2 linked regions of the Medicago truncatula genome follow. The main gene of each other region encodes a partner of the protein of the gene in region 2 in a complex. Links are inferred from orthologs where the notes say so. Each region holds a gene or a part of one and is shown on either strand. Other genes may lie near its edges.

What was found. Proteins that work in one complex are often made in the same cells at the same time.
Region 1: glutamyl-tRNA(Gln) amidotransferase subunit A, chloroplastic/mitochondrial (region 2) and glutamyl-tRNA(Gln) amidotransferase subunit C, chloroplastic/mitochondrial share a complex: the UniProt entries of both Arabidopsis thaliana proteins name them as parts of the heterotrimeric GatCAB amidotransferase (AdT) complex. The link is inferred for Medicago truncatula from reciprocal best matches to the Arabidopsis thaliana genes AT3G25660 and AT4G32915.

What each region holds. Positions count from the first base shown.
Region 1 is NC_053042.1:46,835,782-46,843,350, reverse strand, and holds the start of glutamyl-tRNA(Gln) amidotransferase subunit C, chloroplastic/mitochondrial, read right to left. Parts: upstream 3,103-7,569; 5' UTR 3,068-3,102; coding exon 2,885-3,067; intron 2,810-2,884; coding exon 2,769-2,809; intron 2,051-2,768; coding exon 1,995-2,050; intron 445-1,994; coding exon 396-444; intron 312-395; coding exon 236-311; 3' UTR 1-235. Other genes in the region: protein GET4, read left to right, coding at 3,295-3,342, 3,588-3,667, 5,876-5,954, 6,394-6,475, 6,780-6,930, 7,542-7,569. UniProt on the Arabidopsis thaliana protein: Allows the formation of correctly charged Gln-tRNA(Gln) through the transamidation of misacylated Glu-tRNA(Gln) in chloroplasts and mitochondria. The reaction takes place in the presence of glutamine and ATP through an activated gamma-phospho-Glu-tRNA(Gln).
Region 2 is NC_053044.1:22,450,594-22,458,421, forward strand, and holds the start of glutamyl-tRNA(Gln) amidotransferase subunit A, chloroplastic/mitochondrial, read right to left. Parts: upstream 3,047-7,828; 5' UTR 2,971-3,046; coding exon 2,446-2,970; intron 4-2,445; coding exon 1-3. UniProt on the Arabidopsis thaliana protein: Allows the formation of correctly charged Gln-tRNA(Gln) through the transamidation of misacylated Glu-tRNA(Gln) in chloroplasts and mitochondria. The reaction takes place in the presence of glutamine and ATP through an activated gamma-phospho-Glu-tRNA(Gln).

The DNA.
Region 1 (7,569 bases), on a different chromosome or scaffold from region 2:
ATTTTTGTGACAAATCTCGTATCCATATATACAAATACATTATCAAGCACGTTAAATAATTGTCAAATTATGATGATGAAGATTTCAAAGTTTGTCTAAGTACAGTGTCCATGACGATTTCCATCATGAAAATTCAAAATAAGAGATGGTTTCATATAAAAAACCAAGAAATTCAAGGTACAAGGCAATAGTCTTCATGAGTTTCTTTTAAGCAAAATAACTCAAATAAGAAACTCTAGTCCACATTTAGGACTTTTGGAACTTTAATGTAGGGCTCCTCATAGGTTGGAATGGAAGCGAGGATGGCATCCCTGTCAAGGATATAGCAATCTATCAGGCACCGTCAGTCGGCTATGCAATATGCCCAATTTACAAATAATGAATAAACAACTCACCGTTGATCAAATGTTTCAGGAGTATTGTCACGCAAATTGTTTTCAGTATCTGCAGATAACATTAAAAAAATTAGAAACTAAACACATAAAGCCAAGCCAACAAGCAACAAATGTTTTCTACCACTCATTTAAAAAACGTTAAAGGAATTAAAATCAGGTGCAGAGGCATGTCAAGAGAGAATCACTTAATATATTAAATGATGGAAACTTATTGTAGGGCATGATACTCATCTACCCTCTTCATTTTGTTTATGATAAAATAAAGTGGAAATTCGAGCACCCTAGAAAATTTGCTCCTTTGTCAAAAAAAAAAAAAAAACCAAAATGCTCCACTGTATAAAATATAAAATATATTCAAACAAACTTGCACGACCAAGTGAAGTATAGGAAAGCAATGAGAAGAAAGCAAATAATATGGAACATTTAATAAAGTATTGATTTCCTATTTGTGTAAGACAGCAATAGCACCGACATTTCTCTGTGAATACAAAATAGATACAAACCATGTGTTTTCAGTTCATGAATGAAGGCTACAGCCTACCGACTCATAACCAGGGCTGTTAAAACCCCAAGATCTGAACCGAACTACTGAACTAAACCGAATTTGCGCTATAAAAACTGAACCATTTTGTACAGTTCAGCACAGACTGAACTGGTATTTTAAACACAGTTCGCTAACCAAACTGCACCAGAAAGAACAATTTGCACCATAGTTCACAAATCGAGCAGTGATTGACAATTTGTGAACTAGACTCTCAGTTATGCTTTCACATATGGTCTAAAGCTTATATCCTAGATAAAACAATCTTAGATTGCTGAATTACTGACATGCTACAAAGGTCAATTCTTATCATTTCCACTCTAAGAAACATCTGAAACCTAAATAAAAACATCATAATTTATAAGAACAATAAATTCTAAATCTGTAATTTCACAAACCTGTGGTGCCTCAAACATGGCAAAAAATGAAAAACCCATAAACAACATAGTTTTCAGATTTTTGACTGCACTGTTCTTTAGTTTTAGTTATTTGTTCAGAATGAATGAATCGTAAATGCAAGTTAATTGTTTATAGTTTGTTTTGTTCATAATTTAATAAGCTACACCAACGTGTATGAGTTAATAAACTATATATTGTATATCTTGAAGACTGTTTTTTTTATTTTCATCTTTTGCCTATTTTATTTTCATCTTAGTCACTAGAAAAATCATATGGTTGAAAGGTCTTGTCCATTTTTTATTTCAATGATGAAAAAGCTACCGAAATTGCCACATGCTAAACAAAGGATGTTTCAAGTTCTGACACAATCACGTTGAGTTAATAAATAATATATAATTAGTTCAGTTCATACTTTTCTGGTTCAGTTTCGTTTGGTTTTCTACTTCTACCTGAACCAAACCATGAACAACTAACATACAACAGAATTTAACAACATAAGAAACCATCTCCATGGAAACATAACATAACTTTTTCTTTTGTATTTCAAAAGTTAAGGTTTGCTCACATGAAAATGTATGCAAACAAACATTAGAGAAAATCCAAAACAAGGATATGAAATGATTAATAAATGGAAATTAGAATATTGGTTTTGAGAGCACCTGCTCTTATGGAGGGCTCAACGCTTTGGAGATCAACACCCTGCAGTTGTCCAAACCTGACAGACAAGTCAATCTAAATTTGAAGTTTTGGTACCTTTAGAAACAAAATGTTAAGCCTCACGAGCTGTCATATTTCGACAAACAAAACGCAACACGATATCCAACGTCGTACAAAATACACTTTCAATTTAGTTTGTTTTCCATTAATGAAACATCCATGCTAACAAACATTGGACCCAAACAACATGAATGACATCACTATCTACCTCAAGGTTGTCGAATTTCTTCCAATAACCCCCGTAAAAGATTGAATTATGTTGAAACAATGGTCAGTGCATAAACATGTTTGCAAAAACAATAACATTCCCTCGTTTCAACTTTTCTAAGACTAGAATAACCCTTTGAGACCTCTAAAATCCCTGTAGCAGACTCCACCGTATACCCCAACAATATCCACTTCACATTGTGGCCATACTGTCCCACGTAACTAAGGCAAACATTAGGCTTCAACATAGAGTAAAGGGTAATTAAAGTATTATCCACATAAATCATTGTTACTTATTCTAGTTCAATTATGGATGTATGAATCTTACCATAATGCAGAAAATGGTGTTGGAATAAAAGGTGGGTGGAAGGGGTATTTTAACAAACAGGTGGTGGGCTAACACTGAGAATCCAGTGTTGGTACATCTTTGTGATTCAATTGTTCCTCAATTATCCTATCAAATTACTATAAAAATAGCCAAATAAAATAAGAGTTTTTATTTTACTTACCAGCCTATCACCTGCTGAATTTTAGGACCAAATTCTTCAACCTGAAATAACATAAATCATTATTACTATTAGAAATTTTAAAAAAGAATATTTCTAATTTGAAAGAAAAAAAAAACCTCAGTTGGGGTAAGAGAGATGTGAGCTGTTTTTGCCAAATGAGACACATTTGGAGGTTCTAGAGAGGAACAATTTGTTTTTGAAGACAACCTACGAAACTGTAACAACTTGTGTTGGATTTTCGAATTCGACAATGATAACGATAATGGTGTTCCTCTGAGTAACAACACTTTGCTACTCATCTTCCTTAAATTCTACAAAATCCTTATCCCTCTCAATCTCAATCTCAACAAAACTCTAAAAATCGTTGCTTTTATTGCCAATGTTTTTAAATTTCCAATTTAGTCCCCGAAGAAATTGAAAATTCTCACAGAAGTCCTTCTATAAATAAGATAATTTTCTTTTTTTCTTTTCCCCTTTTATTCTTCCCTCTTTTGCAAAATCCTCCACGGAGAGAAATTTCATCACCATGGCGCGGCAGAGATCCAAAAGATTCGAACTTCCACCCGCTGATGAGGTACCCAAAATCGAATATCCATTAATTTTGTTTCTTCTTTATTCACATTCGTTAAAAAATTACTCTTTTTAATTAAAAAATTGATTTTTATTTATTTTCGATGTGGTTTTTGGTGCATTGATTGAAAATTAATTTTGTGGGTTATGCTTTATGTGTTTTCATTATTGTTTTTATTTCTGGGTTTTGTTATTGCTGTTATTGTTGTTGTTGTTGAGGTTTTTGATTAAATATGGTGTGAATTGCAGAATGTTGAAAAATTGGAGAAAGTTGTGAAAGATGGAAATTGTTATGGAGCTCAACAGATGTATAAATCCATTAGTGCCAGGTTTGAACAATTTCTTGTTGTTACTTTTTACCAAGTTTATGTTATGTGTTTTTGTTCTAGAAAGAATGAGGGAGTGGTGCCAAAGGATTTTCGTGTAAGTGCGTTGAAGAAAGAATGGAATTCCTACCCTAGGGACTATGACCTCCTTTTATAGTGCTCCCTCCTAGAGCTTTTGGCGGGTGCCGTCATGTGGGCAGACATCCGGAGGGCCGTGATGTGCTCGCTCGGTAAGCACTTGGGCTCCTTTGGTCGATCGTAAAAACCTGATTCCTGTGCTTTGGGGAGATCCCACGATACTATGGGGGTTGGGTAGCTCAACTGGTTTGAGCTAAAGGTTAATGGAGTTCGAGGTCGTGGGTTAAAACCCAGACGAAGGAATCTAACAACAAACTACTAACATATACCATTAAAAAAAAATCCCACAATACTGTACACAGCCCCCCAAGTGTCAAGGCTGAAGGGCAAAGGCGCTCCGAGAATCCAAGGGTACTGACCCTACCGTGCTGTACAGCTCTATTCTTCAACATAAATTTTTATTATGTACTCTTCATTTTATCTTCAATGTGAAAATTATAAAATTGTAAATAATTAAGTTTTCCGTAGTTATTTCCTTTCATCTGCATGTACATAGTTTATTAGATTAACTCAGGAAAAAAGTCACAAATTTGGGGTGGCAGATTAGTTAAATGTGAACAATAGTAGTTTGTATTGGTGGTCAGTCAGAGTCAGAAGGACAGGTACAGAATCAATGCTAAAGATTTGATGTAGAGAATAGATATACCCTAGATTTTTGTAATATTTATGTTCTTTTTTGAGCTGGACAGTGCAGTTTCATGTAGTGTAAACTTTTGGAAACTTTGGTGAATGCTGAGTTATAGGAGGTATTTCCTTATGGACAATGTTAGGACTTTGGAGTATTTTCTTATAAACCGGTTTAGAGTTTTTGGAGGCGTGAAAAATGCAGGGTTCTTCGCCGTTTATACATCGTATGTTGTTATTTGGGGCAAATTCTAGGGTGCATGAGGTGTTTAGGTTGTGCACCAAGCTTCACTTTTTTAACTGTAGATTTATATTATTCCCACTACAGTTATATTAGATCATCTATAGCATACCCCTTCGCTCCAAAACCCAGAAACCGTCGTGACCATCTACTACTGTCACAGAACCAGAGCTACTACACCTCCAACCAAAGACCCACCATTCATCCAATCTGCTGCCATCACCCCTACCCCCTTTACGATTCACTGTCCACATGTAATACTCACGTCAACCCTTGATGATCATTGAAATGACACCCGCTACCGTATCTATATTATCTAGTTCACAGGTAATACTCACAATTACCAAAATTGAGTTGAACTATTTGCTATGACTGAGCAGCAAAGAATTCAACACAGTCACATTCAAAACAATTGGTTATGTTCATTGAAATAAAAAAAGTTATGCATGTTGCTGAGAAAGATATTGATGTTTTAAGTAAAGCAAATAAAACAAAAACTACGGAATAGTCAATAGATGTAAATGCCATAACCATGTAATTTTAGTTTCGAAACATCGAGTTTCTGTAATTCCTTTCTTATAAATCACACCAAGACGACAAGTCAAATTGTACCCCATAATTATAATTTATAAGCACCTTCCAAAGCATAATTTTGTTTCTGTGATGTATTAGAAGATGAAGGGTTTGATGTGGAGGTGGAGGAAGGAAACGGCGGAAGAGATAAATTGAAACAGTGCCAAAGGGGAGAGAGGAAAGATATTACAATTCTTGATAGAACTCATAATTGAGAGAAAAGTATAGAAAAGTGAAATGGAAATAATATTGTTTATGATTGAATTGTTGCATCAAGTAGTACATTAAAGCGTATACAGTTAATTAAACCAACTAACTTCTAACTAATCTAACTAATATGTAACTAATGTTACATCTCTAATAGGTATAGAGGGTATATCATTAATTTTGGTGGAGTTTTTTTACTTTTTTTTATCAAGGAGTTTAAAAAGGTCTTGCACAGTACAAGACCTATGCAATTTATGCATGGTAGAAGGAGCCGTTATTTGGTGCTTATAATTGGAGTGTTGTGTAATTAGAGGGTGCTTGTTAAAGTCAAGCTTTATTATTTTGGTTGACAACTGAATCAACTAATACATACTGATCAATTGAGTTACAGAGAGTAGAAACTGATGTGCGTACACGTTTTTCTGCAGATATGTAACTGCTCAGAGGTACACTGAAGCATTAGATATCCTACATTCAGGAGCATGCATTCAATTGGCTCATGGGCAGGTTCTACTACTTTCTATTTTGTTTTCTTTTGAGATATACTTTAATCAACTTTATGATCTTTATTAGCCACGTATGAGAAATTATTAGCTTTTTCATTGTTGCCTTATGACTTGGATGGACAAAGATATTTGCTACATTTTTGGGACACCTGAAAACATAGGCTGCTAAAAGTTACTTGCTTTTAGGAAAACTAAATGAATGAAGAAGTGACCTGAAAACATAGGCTGCTAAAAGTTACTTGCTTTTAGGAAAACTAAATGAATGAAGAAGTGATCAAGAGAGAAAGGAAAGGCACAGATGGAGGATCCTGAATCCTTTTGACATTTCTATCCAAATTTACATTTAGTTTTAATTTTTAACTTTATGATAAGAATATATGCAAATAGTTTTAACAATTGACAAACAAAAAAGTTTAAGTTTTATCTTCTATTTATCTAAGGTTACCTGTGGAGCAGAGCTTGCTTTATTGTTTGTGGAGACATTAGTAAAAGGGAAAATTCCTTATGATGATGGAACTCTTGGTGCGTTCTTATCCTTTCTTTTACCCTTCAATTATTTATCAGTAGTTTATTTTTTGAGCCTGTGATGCAATGTAAGTTATTTTCTTTTTGTCCTATGGTCAGTTTAGAACACTTGCTTTTATTATATTTTGTTTTAACTCATGAGTTTAATCCCATGAGATTTTTAATTTGGTGATTTACATGTATTTGCTTTTATTATATTTATTCTTCAGTAATATATTTTTTCTAATCTTATTTAGATTATATAATATTTGGTCACAGAACATTCATGCTTGTTACTAACTACAATAAATTTTAATGGCAGATCGTCTAAAAAAAATCTATGAAGGGTTTCCTCGGGTTCCATTACCACAACACCTTTGGGATGTTGATGACATGCAGCAACTTTCAGAAAACCTTGGAAGTGCAAAAACACGTGTTGAGGGCTGCTCCTCGTTCTTAAAAGCTGCTATCAAGTGAGACTTCTCAAAAATTAAAATATTATAGATTATACTTTACTTTTACTGATCCCCTCTCTTTTCCATGCAAGTGAATGTGAAAATAGATTATACTTTGCTTTTACTGCACCCTCGTTTGTTGAGTGTTGTATGGCTATCAAGACATATGGCTGACATAATTTTTATAAAATCATAAGGTTGTCTTGTTAAGCCGACCCTTAAAAAAATAGAGTTCAGTTCACATAAAAGCTATAGAAAGATCGCTGACATAATTTTTGTAAAATCATAAGGTTGTCTTGTTAAGCGGACCCTTCATAAAAAAAAATACAGAGTCAGTTCACATAAAAGCTATAGAAAGATCCTTTTGATATCTATAACACAGCATGTGTTCTAGAATAGAATCTCCAAGCATGTAGAATTTCAATTTAGGCTTTGTAACTTTTGTTGGAATTACAGTGTGCTTTTGTGTATTTATGCTTCATAACACGAATTATATAATGATACTTAATTAAATAAGTCTCTTTCAAGTGGTATGGAGCCTTTTACAAGTGAGTTGCATGCTTTTGTATTTATGTGCAATTATTTGTACCTCTTAGCAATATTTCTGGCTTTGCTGCTATTTTATCCAGGTGGTCTGCTGAATTTGGAACAAGTGGT
Region 2 (7,828 bases):
CACCTATTGAATGAACATATGCATCACCTGAGTAAACATATCTCAGTTATAAATAGGCGTACAAGTAATAAAGCTACAAACAGAACTCTATCAAAGCTTAGCCAACCCACCCACAGACGGAGAAAAAACAACACAGCCCCACTATTTGTATGTTTTGTAATGACAAAAATACAAATTTAGCAATGCATCACATTATGGGTCCATCAGGTCATTCATCAACAATTTCACCTGACTCAGATCCTCTGCAATCTCTCTAAATCTAAATAAAATGGTCTCTATAGCTGCTGCCCCATAAAGCAACTGTAGGACATCCGATTTTCAATTTTCATTCTTCTCATTTTCTCTCCAAACAAATGCTGGAACCCATGCTCACAAACTTAATTCAATTGTTAAACACAAGATAACTGAATCAAGTAACCACATAATGTCACCACTCAAACCATCTCACATTTACTTCTAATATTACAAACTGGGCATTTGAAATTTGAGAGGGGACGTTCTTAGATGCACCTAGCATACGACACTATTCTTTTATCACACCGCTCAACATGACTGACATCAGCCAAGTGGATCATCAAACATCATGATTCCTCACCAACACTAACCCCACACTAATGTATCTAAAAATCTCTCATATTAAAATCATCAACAATTATAAAATATATATCTAAAAGTTCAAAAAACAAGGGTAGCATACAAACTAAATTGTAATTCAGCTTAAATGCCCACCCAAACTGGAAAACAAAAACATGTTGATCTTCAAAATCAACAGAACAAACAAACAACTACCGAATAAAAAAAAAACAAACACAAATGCACTACAACACAAAGCAACAAAAAAAAATGAAATGGATTTAATAAGCCACCAAACTAGTCTCAGACTTTGTATGGCGCTCTCAAATAGGTCCCTGACATTATATATATTTGAAAAAATCATTGACTCTATTAAACTTTCAAATTGAGCCCTTTATCTGACCACTTAATATCAATTAGGTCCCTATATTTTAACAACTTACAGGAGTAAGTACGTTATATGTGCTTAAGCTTCTGTTAGTTCAAATCTAGTTATTGCCCTAAATGTATCTAACAATATGTATTGTTTTAGGTTAAATGTAAGGTAATGTTGACTGTAGGGTGACATTCTCAATATGTATTGTTTTAGGTTAGTACATGGCACATGAATGGAAGTTGTGAAATATAGAAACACTGGTTTATACCAAAAAATCTTAAAACCAAACTTTCAACCCATATTCGAAATACATTATTTCAAAATTGGCTTTAAAATCTATACAAGTTTTTGGCTGCATGAGTTTCATTCATGAACTTAGCATCAAATTTCCATGGATAAAACAATTCACATTGCAGTTGTTCCAGGTGTTGGGTATGGACACTTAGTCCCTATTCTTCAATTCTCAAAGTTACTTATCCATCTTCATCCAGACATTCATGCCACATGTATCATTCGCACACTTGGTTCTCCCCCAAGTTCCTCAGAACCCATCCTTCAAACTCTTCCATCAAATATCAACCACATGTTTCTTCCACCGGTTCAACCTGATGACCTACCTCAAGGACTGCCTTGGAAATCCAAATTCAGCTCACAGTTACTAATTCTCTCCCATATTTACATGAGGCATTGAAGACTCTTGCTTTATGGACTCCCCTTGTGGCCTTGGTGGTTCATGCTTTTGCTGTCGAAGCACTAAACTATGCTAAAGAATTCAACATGTTATCCTATATATACTTCTGTGCAGCAGCTAGTACACTGGCTTGGAGCTTCTATTTGCCTAAGTTGGATGAGGAAACAACATGTGAGTACAGAAATCTACCAGAGCCTAAGTTGGATGAGGAAACACCACTTACTATCAATTTGTTCCCTACATTTAACAACTCACTATCAATTTAGTCCCTAACTAACATACTCAGAAGATATAATATGAGTAAAATTTAACAGAGTCACGAACCTTTTTTCAAACACTCATAATTTGACACTATAGTCCCTAAAGTTATTGAAATTGCAAACACATCCCTAGCACCTAATTTAACAGTAATTTTAAGGACAAAATTAACCAAGGAAAAACACATTCAAAGATTAAATTGACAACCTAAAAACAGATTTGAGGACTAAAATGACTAATAAAAAATGCTCTTGTGGATGTGTTTGAAATATCGATACCTTCAGAAACCAATATGACAGCAAGTTATACTTTCAAGGACCTAAATTGAGGTGTGCCAAACAAAACAAAAAAACTAACCTCAGATTAACATTAACACGGTCAAAGAACTTGAGAATAATATTCACTTTAAAATTTAAATTATGGTAAAAAGTTTCAAATAAGGTATATGAATAAACTTAAAAAAAAAAAAAAAAAAAAAAAAAAAAAAAAAAAACAACTTGAAATTGAACATATATATATAAAGAATATATAAAGAGAGTGTTAGAACCTGAAATGCAGAAGCTTCAGTGGTACTTCCCATACCAAACTCATCCATATTCGTCTTCCCAACAACAATCCCACCCAACTCCTTAACTCTCTTCACCGCCGTCGCATCAAACGGCGGCCGATAACCATCAAGTATCCTCGACCCACCAGTCGACGGCATGTCAGCCGTACAAATATTATCCTTAACAGCAACAAGAACACCAGCAAGAGGACCAACTTCCTCCCCCGCAGCGATTCTGCGGTCGAGGTCATGTGCCTGATCGAGGAGGGATTGGTCGGAAGGGAGGTGGAGGAAGGAACGGAGGTGGGGTTCGGTGAGACGGATGCGGGTGAGGTGGGATTGGATGAGGTCGGTGGCGGAGAGGGTGTTGGTGAGAAGGGAGTGGCGGAGGGTGAGGATTTGAGAGGGGGGTGCAGTGGTAGGTTGGGGGTGTGTGAGAATAGCTTGAGTGGTGATTGTGGATGATGGAAGGGAGAAGCGTGAGAGAGTGGAACGTGGGGTTTGGAGTGTGGATAGCATTTTCATTTTCACTTTAGAGTGAGTGTGAATGAATGTGAGAGAAAAGAAGATATAACGATCCTAGCTCAACTTTCTCTCCAAACAAGTATGAAGTTATCGTACTGTAGAAAAATCCTAGTTTAAGTGGTGTGCGTTAAAACCGGTTCACATGAACCATACCCACAACACTGGTTTTTTTTTTTAAGAGAACCACAACCCTGGTTACCTTTTATGAAAACCGGTTTTCGTCCAAATTCAATTTACTCAAAACAGTTGGTTATGAATTGTTATGTTAATCCTTTTGTGCTTCCTATGGAAAGTTTTTCTTTTAGAGTAACTCTCAGTTTCTTCCAGAGAAAGTCAATGCAGAGAAATGGAGTGGGACGAGAGAGGAAATTGAAAATGTTGAATAGAGGGTTAGGGAGATTTAGAGTGTTTGATTCTTATTTTGTTGAATTTTGATTGAATTGGAGAAGAGAATTGTATTGATGTTTATAATCCATTGAAGAATTGAAATGGTGATGGAAGAAATTAGGATTAAAACCAGTTTTCTTACAAATCAGGTCTAAATCGGTTCTGACCAAAATCGAAACTTATTTTTGCTAAAAAAACAGTTTTCATGAAATGGGTTTACTAACTGAACCGAACCATATATTTCATGAAACTCCAATATTTTTTGAGAAATGCTAAGGACACACTCTTTTAACACCCTCCAATGACATGAGGCCACATCACCTCCATTTTTTATTCTTTTACTTGTTAATCTGTTCTACAGGTTGAGAAATAACAACGCTTTTTATTTTATTTTTTCTTTAACTTAAACTCTGACTTCATCTTCTCCGAGACTCCCTTGCTCTCTACAGAGGAAAATTCTACAATTCTTATAAAGGTGGATCTGCCATGGGTATTCTGTTCATGATTTTTATAAGCATCGGATTCATACAAACAATTTTTTTACTTTGGATCGATAACCTGATACGAGGGAGAGAGATTGTGGTTTGTATTGAACCTATAAACAAAGATACCCAAATCTGGCCTGTTTAATGGGAACCCTGTTATGAAGTTTAATTAGAAAGATTCGGGCTTTGATGTTTGAATTGAAGAAAGATTGTGGGGATTGAAATTTGATGAAAAAAGATTGTGGAAATTGAAGTTCGAAACATGAATTTTATCCAAAGTGAAAAAATTGTTTGTATGGATCATGTTTTCTATGGTGATGTTTTTAGGTTCCATTGTTTAATCCTGAACTTGAAGAGTCTGTTCTGGATGGGAGGTTGAAGCGCAGGAAGATGAAAATCTTTAATTACTATTTTTTAATTAAATCCAAATAATAATAAATAATAAGTAATAAATATAATGAAGGATGGTGGAAACCGGTTGCAAGTCAAGGTGTTAAAAAACTGGATGACATGGCAAATTGTGAGTGGAGTGTGTTAGAGGAGTGTGTTAGAGGGTATGACCCTAGCATTCCTCATATTTTTTTAGGGGTTGAAACACAAATCCTTGTAGGTTGTAACATCCGCTTTCTAGTCGTCAACTAGCAACAAACCTTTGCTAAGCACGGGCCCGTGTTCCGTACAGGGCTAATAAGAAGTAGAGGGTTATGTATTAAAACACATTGTAATGTTATATAAGTTGAGAAAATAAGAAGAGAAAGAAGAAAAAAAAAACTGCTGATAAAGTCCACAGTAATAATAAAAGGGCAGATTGCATTGAATTCCTTTGGGATTATTTTTTATAACACAAGTGCCCCTTCTAATTTTTCAAACGCATCATCTCCCCTCATTTTATCCATTTCAATAACTTTGTATACATACAATTTAAGGTCGGTCATTTTGATTTTTTTGTATCTGTTTTCTCTTTTGACAATTAAGTTAAATGAGGTTTTTTTTTCACAATAAAGAAAAACAATAACAACATTTGTTTTTACCATCAAATACAACAAAACATCGGCAATTACAGAAGAGATCAAAAGAGAATATGGAAATGAGAAGAATTTTGGTGGATGGACATTGTGGTTGATCAATGAAAAGGAAATAATTTTCGATATACTCGTTTTATTACATTAGAGTTTGAAAATTAAACAACCTTGACTGAGAAACAATAATTTGGAAAAAAAATCACCTAAATGAAAAATAGAAGAAAAAAATAGTCAAAAATTAAGTTAGACCAAACTCGTATGAAGAAGTTAATTGCTAAAAAAAATGGAATTGACAATTTAAACCTTATATTATAAGGGAAGTGCTTGTCAATTTGTTAAAAAAAAAAATAAGGAAGATTAGTGTTTAGTTATAAAATAGAGCGGATATTTGTGTTATTTAAGAAGACCTTAAAGAAGGTTGGTGTAATAAGCCCTTTTTTTTAAGACTAATTTTCCCATGATAAAGTCATTGAAATTTTTGTTATTAAATATTATGAAGTGGTGTCATTATTGATAAAGAAAAAACATAATAAAAAAAACATGATAAAAATATTAAAAATAATAAAGATTTCATTATTAATAAAGATGTCGTTATGAGTCACGTGTATGAACTGTACAACTATATTATTTAAAGACTTATTTATCATTTTTTTACTGTGTTTTTTATAGTCATATTTCTGAAAGATATAATAATTAATAATCTACAACAATATAAATATTATTTATAATATGACATGGTGGTCTGACTTCTTTGATTCTCTGTTGTTTCTAAATATGTTGAAATCTGCAGGTTTCAAGGCGTCTTGTTTGCATACACTCTAGTTCTTCAAACTCGAAAGAGTTTTTATGCTTGCTAATTTGTTCAACTATCTGTTGGAACTTGGATTTTGATATCATGCTAACGGTCGATCCATTATTATTTTGTTTGAAAAAGGTCGATCTATTAATTGTTCTTCGCAGATGTTCACTTTTCATACTTTTTTTGTAAGTTCGTTTCACATCCATATACCGGTTCGCTTGGTTGAGCCCGTGATTAGTGAATTTTTTTAGGATAGATTAGGGTTGATCTACTCGGTCTGATTTATTATGTTCTATCCCTGTTTTGGGCTATATCTGAGTCAGATCTAATGCCTGTGATAAGTGAATATTTTTTTAGATTAAATATGTAAACAATTGTCATTTTTTTTCATTGGATTACCTACAAAAGAAAAACTGATACGAAGGTAGTTCTATTACATCCTAAAATAATCATATGAACATCATAAACTAAATAAGATCTAAACATGTTGAGGAGTCAAAATATTAAGATGGGGCAAAATTGAGTTTTTATTTGTCATTAACTTTCATAATTAGCGAAAGATAAAATAGATTGTAAATATCCCCGTGAGTTTAGCTCAGTTGGTAGGGATATTGCATATTATATGCAGGAGCCGGGGTTCGAACCCCGGACACTCCACTTCTCCACAATTAAATTGTGTGAGCTCTAGCCACTAGGCTACTTGACCAAAAAAAAAAAAAAATAGATTGTAAATTATTTTTAACTCTTTAGATATTTAGAAGTTGAATTATATGAAAATTTGTTTTGATTGAGATTAAGTTTGTTTGTTCTTTAAAAAAAATCTTATGTTAGTGTGTTTTATCAAGCGAGTTCGTTTTAATTTGTTTTTAAGATAGAAAAAATTGAGGGAGATTGAAGAAAAAATACAAAAGGATATACTTTTGACAACGTGTCAAAAAATTAGGGAGGGGTAGGATTGTATTTTTGGTAGACATTAAGTTTCATAATTAGATAATAGAATTAGAGAAAAATAAAATATATTTTAAATTATTTTTAACTCCTTAGATATTTAGAAGTTAAATTTTAGTAAAATTTGTTTGTTCTTTAATAAAAGATTTTAATTTGTTTTTAAGAGAGAAAAAATAGGGGGAAGTTGAAGTAAAAGACACAAAATGATATAATTTTGATGACGTGTCAAAAAATTAATAAGGAGCTAGATTGTGTTTTTGGTAGACATTAAATTTCATAATTAGATAGTAGTAATAGATAATTTAAATTGTTTAGGTACAACAATATAAAAGAAATTTTATGTTGCCAAATCACATAAATTTTTTGAAAGTTATTTTCCCTCTCATTTAAATAGGATTTTTGTTAAAAAAAAAAAACACAAAAGGGTAAATATATGTTGAGGTGTCAAAAAGATTTAGATGGGGAAAAATTGTGTTTTTGTTGGTCATTTAATTTCCGTAGTTATATTACTTCCGTAGTTTTTTTTTAAGGATTTACTTCCGTAGTTATATCTATACTATATATTTATACTATATATAAAGAAAACTAACCATTTCGGCACTTTTGGGTTTTTGCAACAAAAAGAAAAAAAAACACTTCTTGGCTGGATTTTTCTTTCCAAAAATACTCTTAATTTTTAATACAAATAACACATACAACAAATAGATAAGTTGTATGTTACTTGTCCATTAGGTTACAACAAATATATATATATATATATATATATATATATATGGGGTTGTTAACTTACACCCATCTAAAAACACTAAGCTGCAAATTAGCAAATTACACCACCTAAAATTATTAAGATGCATGTTAGCAACCTACACCCACTTAATTATTTACACTCATTTTTAAAATATTTATAAGGTGCAAGTTAGCAAACTTAACTAATTTACACCCGCCTTAAAAGCTTGTGTCTCACATGATACTATTACATGTTTTTTTTCTAATTAAAAAAAACAACAAAAATTTCATTAAATATTTGATTTCCAAATTCATACTATCATTCACACTAGAACAACAATTCAACAACATGATTTAATTCATCAGAAACACTTAAATATACTTCTGCAAGAGGAGTTTGAAGCAAGAGGTAGTGGTTATTATTTATTAAAGTCATAAACATTAAGGCAAATTGAGCACCGAAGAATATTGAAAGGAAGTGACATGGATGA